Callithrix jacchus: one gene and its partner. Each later gene encodes a partner of the first gene's protein in a complex. Links are inferred from orthologs where the notes say so. Each region holds a gene or a part of one and is shown on either strand. Other genes may lie near its edges. The genes, in order: NELFCD and NELFB.

Region 1 (5,928 bases):
CAGTCTCATTCCTTCCTTTCAGTCATCTTTCACACTGAAGCCACAGTGATCTCTGTAAGCCACAAAATTGACATCACTCTCCTCCTTAAAAATTCCCATCTCCTTCAGGAAAAACACCCAAGCTCTAACACGACAGTGCCCCTCCCACCTGCTCCTCTGTCTGTTCTGACCCCTCGACACTCCCCATTTACAATTTGCAGCCAGACTAATCTATTTGCATTTCTGTAGCTCTTAGTTTCCATCATCCTGACTGAACATCACAGTGGCCTCCTTACACATCTTCCCGCCTTCCACCATATATGGAACATGGCATCAAGTGAACGGAATGTGAGTCACCAACTGTCTTTTAAAATCCAGTTCTTGCCACCCTCCTAACACTTTTCCTAACTTTCTGTCCCTCGTCCAAGTGGGATCACAGAATAAAAATGAAATGAACATCTGGTCCACCCTCCTCATCAATGAGAGCCCACTGGTGTCAATGGGATACATTAGGATCATGATCAAAATTCCCCAAACATGAGGCCGGGCATGGTGGCTCATATCTGTAATCCCAGCACTTTGGGAGGCTGAGGCAGGCGGATCATGAGGTCAGAAGTTCAAGACCAGTCTGGCCAATATGGTGAAACCCCATCTCTACTAAAAACTACAACAATTAGCCAGGCAATTAGCGAGCCTATAGTCCCAGCTACTAGGGAGGCTGAGGCAGGAGAATCGCTGGAACCTGAGAGATAAGAGTTGCAGTGAGCCAAGAGTACACCATTGTACTCTAGCCTGGGCAAGAGCAAGACTCCGTCTCAAAAAAAAATTCCCCAATCTTCCAACAGCAGGGTCTAGAGTTGGAAGTGAAGGCAGATTAGATGGCCCTTACATTCCCCAGTTCTAACACTTTTTGACTCAGCGGCTCAAGGTGAGGCCAGGGGTGGTGGCTCAAGCCTATAATCCCAGCACTTCCGGAGGCTGAGGCGGGCAAACTACTTGAGGCCAGGAGTTTGAGACCAGCCTGGCCAACATGATGAAAGCCCATCTCTACTAAAAATACAAAAATTAGCCTGTAATCCCAGCTACTTGGAAAATCACTTGAACCCGGGAGGCAGAGGTTTCAGTAAGCCAAGATGACACCACTGCAATCCAGCCTGGGCAACAGAGTGAGACTCTGTCTGAAAAAAAAAAGAGAGAGAGAGAAAAAGTCTCGGCGTGGTGGCTCACGCCTGTAATCCTAGCACTTTAGGAGGCCGAGGCAGGCAGATCACCTGAGGTCAGGAGATCAAGATCAGCCTGGCCAACATGGTGAAAGTGAAACCCCATCCCTACTAAAATACAGAAATTAGTTGGGCATGATGGCAGGTGCCTGTACTCCCAGCTTCTAGGGAGGCTGAGACCACAGAATCACTTGAACCTGGTAGACAGTGGTTACATGAGCCGTGATCGTACCACTGCACTCCAGTCTGGGCAGCCCAGTGAGACTCCCCCCCACCCCCAAAAAAAAAAGAAAGAAAGAAAAAAGTCTCAAGGTGATATACGAGATGCCCCAAACACCAACCCACCACTAAGATAATTCATACCCTCTCATCTGGACCACTTTGGTGGTCAGCAATTTGATGAAGCTGCAATAGAGGCAAATGACATGGGTTTGGGTCCCCTCTCCTTCCTTTATTAGTTTCATGACTTTGGGAAGGTCATTAAGTCTTTCCACCTCACTTTCTTCACTTACCAGATAGAGTAACACCCAACTCAAAATCTTGAGTGTGGAAGGTGATAATGCATGAAGCACATGGCCCAGGCTCTCAGCCACATCTGACTCTCTATCCACTCTACCCTAAGCCTCCAACGCTGTGAAATGATCCAACATGCAAATCTACTCATATCACCTCCTGCCCCAAACTCCTGAACAAGCCATTCAGCGGCTCTCCAAGGATCTTCAGACCTGCTCCCTACTGACCTCCTGCCACTGCTTCCACCAGGCAGCTAACCTCACAGGCCTTCTTTCAGTTCCAGAAACACATCGCCTGTCCTGTTATTTGCTACCACAGCTCCGAAGCCGTCATCACACCACCATCCATGTTCATTGAAGTAAGCCCACTGCATCCTTCATTCCCTCAAAATACCAGTTCAAAATGGACCAAATATCCCCATTGTTGATTCTTGTTAAAAATGCAAGTTCCTGGGCCAGGCGCATGGGTCACACCTATAATCCCAGAACTTTGGAAGGCCGAGGTGGATGGATCACCTGAGATCCAGAGCTTGAGGCCAGCCTGGCCAACATGGTGAAACCCCCTCTCCACTCAAAATTTTAAAAAATGAGTGTGGTAGCAGGCGCCTGTAATCCCAGCTACTCGGGAGGCTGAGGGAGGAGAATCACTGGAACCAGGGAGGCAAAAGTTGCAGTGAGCCGAAATTGCACCATTACACTCCAGCCTGGGCAACAAGAGTGAAACTCTGCCTCAAAAAAAAATGCAAGTTCCTAGGCTCTCGTGCAGATCAACTGTAGGGACCTGAGAAGCTGCACATTTCAATCATGCGCAGCAGGTGGGTTTTAAGATTAGAAAAAGGCTCCGGCCAGTTGTCCTGGCGCTTGAGGAAGCGAGGCTGAGTTCAAGGCCAACCTGAGCAACATAAGAAGCTCTCATTAACAAAAAAAAAAAAGGTTAGAAAAAGGTGGTGACAAACCAGCCTGACTAGAACTGCCTTCCCTGGCTCTGCAGGCCCTGTCCTCAGGGGAGAATAGAGTGACCCCTCCTGGGCTTCCACTCCAAACCCTGGAAGGTCAAGGCCAGAAGATCCTTTTCATTATTTTGTCCAAAGACAGATGAAATCGGCCAGGGGTGCTGAAGAGTACAGTTTATAAAACAGTGAAACACAGTAGGAATGCCCAAAGTTTTACTTTTTCCCCACGATGCTGGTGTGAAGTTTTCCATTTTATTTTTGTTTAAAACTGTCTGGGCTTCGAGCCCAACCCTCCACCTTAGTATTGGTGTCCCACCCGCCGTGGGGGTCGCAGGGCCGGCGCCGAGGCTGGCCGGAACGAGGGGTCACTGGGGGCTTCGGGCTGTCCCGCTCCAGAGCCACCGCCGCCTCGTCCCCGCCCCACGGTCCTGCAGGCGAAGACGCAGGGACCCCGGGCTGGGGGGGCGGGGCGGGCTGTGTAGAACCACACGGAGACCGCGCAGGCCGTGCGCGCGCACACACCCCGCACGCCCGCGGCCTCGCGCCGCGCGGGCTTGCCGGGAGCGGAGCCGGCCCGCCGGCGGCGGAGACGAACGATCCTCGCCGGGGAGCGCCCGATGCCCCGCCTTACCTGGCCGCCGTCAGCCTCGTCGCCCGACTCGGCCGCGCTCCCGAAGTAGTCCTCATCCATGATGGCTCCCGGCGCGGACACCGCCATGCTCTACCGCGAGCTAGCGTGGCGCATGCGCGAGGCGAAAACGGGCGAGCGGACGCACGCGCGGCCCCGCGGCCCCGCCCCCCGCGCGCTCGGCCCGGGCGGGAGGCGGGGCTTGGAGGAAGGGGTGGGGCCTGGAGGGGGAGCAGAGCCGCGGGCTTCCCGCTAGGAACAAAGAGGACCGGGCGAAAGGAACGCCCCCCAATCGGTTTCTGAGCGCTGCTAGGGTGGGCCAGGGGCTTATGCAGAGAGGTTTCCAACTGGACTCGTGCACGGTCTCACTCCTGTTGCACCAGCCCTGCGAGCGCCAGTTTCTTCATCGGACAGCTGGGAACAAATTCTTTGGGGAGTGTCTAGAACCCACGAAAGTGTTTTAATTTCTTTTATTTTTGGTAAAAAGTACTAAACGCGGCAGGGCGTGGGGGCTCACGCCTGTAATCCCAGCCCTTTGGGAGGCCTCGGAGGGCGGATCACTTGAGATCAGGAGTTCGAGACCAGCCTGGCCAACATGCTGAAACCCCATCTCTACTCAAAATACAAAAATTAGCCAGGCGTGGTGACGGGCGTCTGTAATCCCAACTACTAGGGAGACTGAGGCAGGAGAATCGCTTGAACCCTAGAGGCGGAGGTTGCAGTGAACCAAGATCACACCACTGTACTCCAGCCTGGGCAACAGAGTGAAACTGTGTCTCAAAAAAAAAGAGAGAAAAGAAAAGAAAAAGTACTAAATGCAGTGGAAAGTAACGTTTTTAATTTTTTTTTTTTAAATGGAGGAAAGGCCCGCAAAGCAAAAGTGTCCAGAGCCCACAAAAATCTCTGGAGAAAGGACCTCCCTGGTAGCTGCCAAAGGGCGCAGGTGATGCTGTTGTGAAGCCCGCAGCACACTTCTAATGTGAAGTAGGGAGTAAGAACATGACAGCCTCTTGATAATCACGGAAAGGCTTTTGTTGGCTGTTGAGTGTGTGTGTGCTTTTTTAATTTTAAATTTGGTACATGTGCAGGTTTGTTACATTGGTATATTGTGTGATGCTTCTAATAATCCCTTCACCAAAGTAGTGAACATGGTACCAGATAGGCAGCTTTTCAACCTTTACCCGCACCCCCTCACCCCCCCCCCACCCCACCCCATCTCCCACACCTTCTGCCTTTTGGAATCCCCTGGGTCTGTTGTTCCCATCTTTGTGTCCAAATCGTGGAAAATTTTAAGCAGGGTGAAATTTTAACGCCATCAGATCTGGATACTTTAAAAGGAAATTTCCATGGCTGACCGCCGTGGCTCACACCTATAATCCCAGCATTCTGGGAGGCTGAGGTGGGAGGATTGCCTGAGGCAAGAGCTTGAGACCAACCTGGGCAACATACAGAGACATCCCCATCCCCTCGGCCAGGTATGGTGATGCATGCCTGCAGTCCTAGCAGCTCAGGAGGCTGAGGCAGGAGGATTGTTTCAGCCCAAGAGCTTGAGGTTGCAGTAAGCAATGGTCATGCCATTTCAGACTGTGTGACAAAGTAAGACCCTGTCTATAAACAAAAAAAAAAAGAAGGGTAATGCCCATGTCAGTAAGGAAAGGGTATTAAAGAGCTCCAGAATATTGATAATAGTGAACATTTATGGAGGGCTTATCAGGGAATATGTTTATTCAACAAATGTTTATTGAGTGTCCCCTAAGTGCTCGACTCTGTGCTGCTCCCTGGAGCTCAGTGGTGAACAAATTGGACATGATCCTTGCCCTGGTAGAGCCTGCCTTCTACTGAAGGAGCTGAAAGGGGGGCCAGGGGGAAACAAATAAAATAAGGACAGAGATGATCGGTGCTAGTATTCTGTGATAATAGGAGAGACCTTCTTGGGGAGATCAGAGATGGCCGCTGAGAAACTTACATTTGAACTGAGAGTCATGTGATGAAAGGGCCAAGCAAGCTAAGACCCAGGCAAGAGCATTTCCAGAGAGCAGAACTGCCAGGGCAAAGGCCAGCCATGTGTTCTTGGAACAGAGAGGCCACTGAGACTGGGACTGGGCAGGCTAAGGAGAAATGTAGATGAGGCAGGGCAGGCAGGGCAGGCAGGGCAGGCAGGGCCAGATCTCAGGAGGGAGTTAGGTCTGTGTTAACTGAGGGTCATCTTTAAGGATTGAATGTAATAAGGTATGCCAAGCGCTGAGCAGAGAGCTTGCACATCGTAGGTGCTCAGCGAATATGCATAATTATGAGGAGGAGGAAACGTTTGGATTTTTTTTGTTGTTGTTGTTTCCTTGCTCTGAGCGTGTGAAAGGACATATCTGAGTTTTCAAAGTCATATCCCCTAGCTGAGGAGGCCCTACAGAAGGGAATGAGAAGATGAGATAGTAAATTAAGAGGTATGAACAGGAGGCTGAGAAGGAGCTGCAGCTAGCTGCTGTGAAGTTGGAGTCAAGTCCAGAGGATAAAACAAACAGCCTTGCAAGTGGGAGTTGGGGGTGAGGAGCAGGGTCAGGGAAGATACCACTGTAAGTCCCAGCTTGCGTGCCTGCAGATGGCCCACGGCTGAGACAGGGAACCCAGGAGGAGGGCAG
Region 2 (5,928 bases), on another chromosome or scaffold:
CTGTAATCCCAGCACTTGGGAGGCTGTGACAGGTTGATTGCCTGAGGTCAGGAGTTCCAGACCAGCCTGGCCAACACGAGGAAACCCCATCTCTATTAAAAATACAAAAATTGGCTGGGCGCAGTGGCTCAAGCCTGTAATCCCAGCACTTTGGGAGGCCGAGGCAGGTGGATCACGAGGTCAAAAGATCAAGACCATCCTGGTCAACAAGGTGAAACCCCGTCTCTACTAAAAAAATATATAAAAAATTAGCTGGGCATGGTGGCGTGTGCCCGTAGTCCCAACTACTCGGGAGGCTGAGGCAGGAGAATTGCTTGAACCCAGGAGGTGGAGGTTGTGGTGAGCCGAGATCGTGCCATTGCACTCCAGCCTGGGTAACAAGAGCTAAACTCCATCTCAAAAAAAAAAAAAAAAAAAAAAGAAAAAGAAATCTCGGCTGGGCGTGGTGCCTCATGTCTGTAATCCCCACACTTTAGGATACTGACAGAGGACTGCTTCAGCCCAGGAGTTCAAGACCAGACTATGCAACACAGTCAGACCCCCAACTCTACAAAAATAAATATTTCATTAGTCCAAATATGGCAGCGCATGCCTGTGGTCCTAGCTACTCAGAAGCCTGAGGGGGGAAGCTGGCTTTAGCTCAGGAGGTCAAGCCTGCAGTGGGCTGTGATGACGCCACTGGACTCCAGCCTGGGCAACAGAGTGAGACCCTGTCTCTTAACAAAAATAGAAAAAAAAAAAAAAGTCCTGCACAGTGGCTTATGCCTGTAATCCCCGCACTTTGGGGGGATGAGGCAGGCAGATAGATCATTTGAGCTCAGGAGTTTGAGCCCAGCCTGACCAATGTAACACTAAAGACATAAAAATTGGCTGGCATGATGGCACACACCTATAATCCCAGCTACTGGGGTGGCTGAGGCAGAATAATACCTTGAACCTGGGAGGCAGAGGCTGCAGTGAGCCAAGATCGCACCACTGCACTTCAGCCTGGGTGACAAGAGCGAAACTCCATCTCAAGAAACAAAACAAAACTGAGGGAAAATTTGAGTTTAGAATAATGCCAACATTATTAACAGGCAGAACCTTGGATTTGCTGTCCTCTGAAGAACGAAAAGCAAATAACTGAAATATTTGAAAGGTGAAGAACCAAACAGAAGCAGCTTTTTAGAAGTAGGAGAGGGAGCTGTAACTTCTCGTTAGGGGCCTTTCCGCAGATTTTAATGTTGTGCACATATGGTTTTAATCGAAAGTAAAATACATACAAAGAGAAAACCAACCTTCCTTCTAGCACAAGTCCCAGGCCTGCCACCCGCAAGAGTAGAACCACCCTGCCATTCACAAGGCAGCAAACAGTCGATCCCCAGGTAGCTGAAGGGCCTGGCCATGGCACGCCCAAGAGGTGCCCCACCCTGCACGCGGCCTCTCCCCTCTCACCTCACCCTGGCGCCTGGTCTTGGGGGAAGGACTGAAGAAGTTGTGCAGGACGGAGAGCTCTGTGCTGAAGAGCGCGCTCTCCTTCTCCAAGATGTACTGCTTCAGCAGCGGGGAGACCTCGTCCCCAAAGAGGGCCTGATTGTCTTGCCAGATCTGCCTCTTCACCTCCACGGCGCAGGCTCGATACAGCTCCTTGTCAGCCATTACGAGCTTCAGCTTTTTCTCAGGAACCTACGCGGCACCACAGGCTGCCTGTGAGCGGCACCTATGTCCCTGGGTCTCCCTCGAGTCCACTTCAAGCCACGCCCCACTCTACAGGGCACCTATGACTGGGCCCCCAGTCCCAGCAGGTTCAGGCAGACGTGCTAAATACCAACAGGTCTTTCCCAGAAGGGGCCCCACGCCCCAACTCCAGTGCCAAGCTTCAGTCTCCACGCGGCTCACGCGGGAGAGGCCAGCACAGGAGCCACCACGGACAGCACTCAGGCAGGCGGCTCACTGGAACTTCCATCAACCAAGAGCATGAGGGTGGGTGGACGCCCGAGCCAGCAAGGTTTTAGGGTCAGGGTCAGGGTTAGGGTTCTACCTTGGGCAGGTGCTTCATGACACACATCACCACAGGCTGCAGGGACGGCATCTTGACCAGAGAAAAGCTCTTCTCCAGAAGGTCTTCCAGCTTCTTGTACCTGGAACAACTCACACGATTGATGGCGTGGCAATGGGCCGAATCAGAGCAGCTGTCTGCATGTCCCAGTCAGATAACGGCTGCCAGGCCAAGTCTCCACACGCAGAACACGAGAGGCAAGAGGCCGTTCAGACACAGGCCCAGGCCACCTCTGGGAGCAAGGCTGTGCAGCCAGGAGGATGATCAATGTCCAAGTCGATCTTAGGCTGAGAGGCCGACAAGGCTGTGCAGCCAGGAGGACGATCAATGCCCGCCGGGCACATATCGGACCCGCCCACCCACCTTTCCTCAGCCTTCCCCTCCGAAGCGATGGCCGACACCCGCTCCAGCAGCTTGTCTCGCAGCTCATCGAACACCGACTGGTGGAACTCCAGCCGCGGCGTCCCGTGTAGGTCCAAGAAGGGGAGGGCCGACTGGAGAGAGGGCAGCAGCACGCCGTTCTCTGTCTGAGGAAGCAAAAGGTCAGCTGCCGCCCACTGCGCCCGGGCACCCGATGTCCTGCAAGCACAGGGAGGCACGAACCCCAGGGTTCCCGGCCGTGCAGGGGCAGCGGCAGCCACCAGAAGCCACCCAGCCGTCCAGCAAACCGACGCCAGCTCGGGACTCCACCCCCAGAACGGGACTCAGCCACTCGAAGAAAGCCGGGAACTTCCGGCGCCTCCGCCAGGCTCGACTCCCGCGCAGGCGGCCTGGCGGTCGACCCGGGCTGCCCCCGCCTCGAGGCCCGCCCCACCTGGAACTGCTCGATGGCCTTGAGCGGCTCCGTGCAGTTGGTCAGGGTCTCCTTCAGGTCCTCGCCGTTGGCCACGCCCAGGTCCTGCAGCCCCGCGAACATGGCCGAGGCCCCGGCCGCCGCCCGGCTCGGCGCCCCATCCCCAGCCCGCTCCCCCGGCGCCGCCGCAGGCGCCCCAGAAGCCCGCTCCGCCGGGCCTCGGGGGCCCCCCGAGCCCCGCTCCCCCGCGCCCTCCAGCTCGGCCAAGTCCCGCCCGCTTCGCGGCTCCGCGCACACCGCACCGCCCGGGTCCGCCAGCCAACCGGCCCCCGGGAAACACCGCCGCTGCCGCGCGCAGGTTCCTGGGAGCAGCGCCCGCCCCTCGCGCAACAGGCTCCACCTAGCCAGCCCCGCGCGCGTGCGCCCTCCGGTCCCGCGGGCGAGCGTGGGTGGGTGGGAAAGGGGCGCCATTTCAGCCGAGTGGATTTCGTGCGCATAAGCGTGTAAAACGGTCTTGCGGATCTCGCAGCAGCCTCGCGACGCGGGACATGTTGCCCGGGGTTGCGCCCCCAGCCTCTGCGCCGCGCTGGTGTGTGACTCGGGTGCGGCCTCCTCGGCGTAAAACCGGCACGAAGCCCCCACCCCAGCGCTGCGGCGAAGGCTGGGTCTCAGCGCCTTCAGGCGGGGGCCTGGCGGAGACCAGGCGCGCGAACGACGGCCGCCCTCCCCGGCCACGGAGGCGCTGGCACCCGCCAGCCCCGCGGAGCCGTGAGGGAGAGTCCAGGTCCCGCAGCGCCTCTTCTCGTCCCAGGCGGGCTCCCCGGGCCTCCCCGTCGCCCTCCCGCACGCTCTGCCGCGCCAAGCCCGACACATTCTCTCTTTTCTATCTGTGCTGCTGAAATTTTTCTCTACAAATTTCTTTCATGCTGCCCAGCAAACTCTTGCTCTTCCTTGAAGGCTCCCTCTTCCACCACCTCCTCCAGGAAGCCCTCCCTCCTTCGCCCAGCTGGAGGAGATCGCTCCATCCTTCCTGCTGCTCCCGCTTCCAGCTTTGGGTCTCAGAGGTGCCAGGTGGTGCCCGGGTCGCCCCAGCCGTAAGCAGAGCTCCTGTTGCTACGGCCAGGCAACCACAGCTCTATTGCCACTGGAATAGACCCCTAGCTGGTTTGGTGGCAGAGGGGGACAAGGGGCACAGCACATACACAGTCCTAGGCTTGGAGTCCTCTGTGCGAAAGGGGATGGAGCTGACGCCACAGGAGCAGCTGCCCAGAGCCTTTTTGAAGGGGTTGAGCTCTGGACTTGGTCTGGGCCCGGGGTCCGGGAGGTACAGGTGCAGTCACAGTCACAGGGGCGACACGAGCTGCAGGTAAGCCTCCTGCAAGGTACGAGGGCAAGCCCGGCAAAGCTACAGGACCAGCCCTCAGCAGGGGCCCAGAGTCTGGGGCTGTGGCTCAGCCTACAGGGTCCTGGGCCAGTTTCCACAGGTGACTCACCCCAGCTGAAGGCCTAGATGAAGTGGCGCTGGGCCCTAGTGAGCAGGTCCCTGGGCCCCTCCTGAGGGCTGGTCAGGCGACCCCGTCTACTGGTGGCTCAGGGCATTTGTTGCTTCCTTAAAAACCAAGTCAGTTCCCTGGCTCAGCAAGCGGCTGACCCTCAGGTGGACAGCAGCTGGACTGGGCCCCTGAATGGCACGGCTGGGTAGGGGTGTCCCACAGAGCCTCCCATCTCACTCCAGGCTAGAGCTCAGTCAGTGGCACGCTGCCATATAGAGAAAAGAACACCCTTCAGGGCAGCCAAATGGAGACTCCTCAACAGGGAAAGCCAGAAATGACCCAGTGGCAGCCATATCTCCAGGACCGCCCCGGGTGAAGGACAGACAGCTGCACACTTCGGAGCATGGGAGAACCCACAGCATCTCTGTATAGCAGGGTGTGGGCAGATGGGGGCTCCAGGCTGGACTGGCTTTGTCCACAGTCCATAGAAGGGTTGTCCAGCCAGGAGGGTGCACCAGGGGTGCCCAGAGGGTCAGGGGCCAGGCTGGGGCGCCGAGTCCCAAGGGAGGCCTGGGAAAACCCCAGGAGAGGCCAAGGTTCCACTCGTTGGCCGGGCCAAGCTGGCTTTGCCCAGTGGGCTCTAGAGTGTGCAGAAGGGGCCAGCGTCGTGTCTCTTGGGTCTGCACACGCCAGGTGCCGAGGGGAAGCGAGAGTTGTAGCAGTCCTCCACGTGGTAGGCAGCCAGGCCGGGGGTTTGGGCTGGAGAGAGAGAGAGAGAGAGCGAGCCCCACCCAGCTGGCTCAGAGCCCCCACTCACACCTGGCTCCCGGCCCCACCACACTCACCCATGGCCCAGCCCTTGCCCTCCCCTCTCCAGGCCTTACAGCCACTGAGCCAGGTGGGGAACACCGGGGAGTGGCCCATGGAGAAGGCTGGCGGGCGTGGGCTCTGCAGGCAGCTCCCAGGAAGAATGTTGTAGGTGTTGGGGCCAGGGTGCCTCTTGCCAGGTGCCTGCAAAGAGGCCTGGAGCAGGCACTGGGGCTGCTCCTGGAGACCAAACCCCCTGGCCCGAGGCAGCCTGGGGTGGGTGTGGCCCTCAGGTGTCTTGGTGGCAGGGTGGTGGCCCCTGAAGCTGAAGGCGGGCCGAGCGGCTGGTAGTTGGCTGGTGAGGGCCACTGCGAAGCAGCAGGAGACCGTTGCTGCAGGGCAGGGAGCTCCCAGGACCCTCAGTCAGCCCTGCTTTGGTCCCGATGGAAGCCCCAGCCCCCGCCTGCCTGGACTCCCTGCCCCCTTCCTGCCCAGCCCCCACCTTTTGCTTTTGGTTGAAGTTGGCCTTCTGTGTGAAGGGGCTTTCACTCTGGAACCACACTGTCTGCCATACCCTGCACCCACCGCCCTCTATAGTGGGGTGGAAAGGCCTCAGGCTGTGGGGGTACCAGTGCAGAGGCTGAGGCCCCCATTCCCAGGGTGGGGACAGGCCTGGTGGTCGGGCCCCAGGGAGGGAACACACACCTTGGCCCTGGTGTTTGCGGCCAATGCTGTAGTGGGGGTGTGGGGAGGACTCTCGCACAGACGGGCTTGGCAGCTGGTACTTGGCGGGGCTG

Evidence for each region.
Region 2: the proteins of NELFCD (region 1) and NELFB are in contact, whole or in part, in a crystal structure (PDB 8JJ6), measured with the Homo sapiens proteins. The link is inferred for Callithrix jacchus from reciprocal best matches to the Homo sapiens genes NELFCD and NELFB. Residues at the interface, in XP_047296144.1 of Homo sapiens: Arg63, Ile66, Met67, Glu68, Pro69, Ile71, Phe72, Leu75, Ile89, Gln90, Leu92, Ser93, Tyr96, Thr97, Ala98, Val99, Ala100, Gln101, Thr102, Val103, Asn104, Leu105, Leu106, Trp109, Leu110, Gln112, Thr113, Gly114, Val115, Gln121; in NP_056271.3 of Homo sapiens: Met49, Leu53, Leu56, Val58, Ala59, Asn60, Gly61, Leu64, Lys65, Leu68, Thr69, Leu75, Ile78, Glu79, Phe81, Gln82, Glu84, Asn85, Gly86, Val87, Leu88, Leu89, Ser91, Leu92, Ser94, Ala95, Leu96, Pro97, Phe98, Leu99.

Annotation. Positions count from the first base shown.
Region 1 is NC_133506.1:54,548,156-54,554,083, reverse strand, and holds the start of NELFCD (negative elongation factor C/D), read right to left. Parts: upstream 3,393-5,928; 5' UTR 3,383-3,392; coding exon 3,296-3,382; intron 1-3,295. UniProt on the Homo sapiens protein: Essential component of the NELF complex, a complex that negatively regulates the elongation of transcription by RNA polymerase II.
Region 2 is NC_133502.1:185,660,875-185,666,802, reverse strand, and holds the start of NELFB (negative elongation factor B), read right to left. Parts: upstream 3,804-5,928; 5' UTR 3,705-3,803; coding exon 2,853-3,704; intron 2,566-2,852; coding exon 2,402-2,565; intron 2,121-2,401; coding exon 2,021-2,120; intron 1,666-2,020; coding exon 1,435-1,665; intron 1-1,434. UniProt on the Homo sapiens protein: Essential component of the NELF complex, a complex that negatively regulates the elongation of transcription by RNA polymerase II.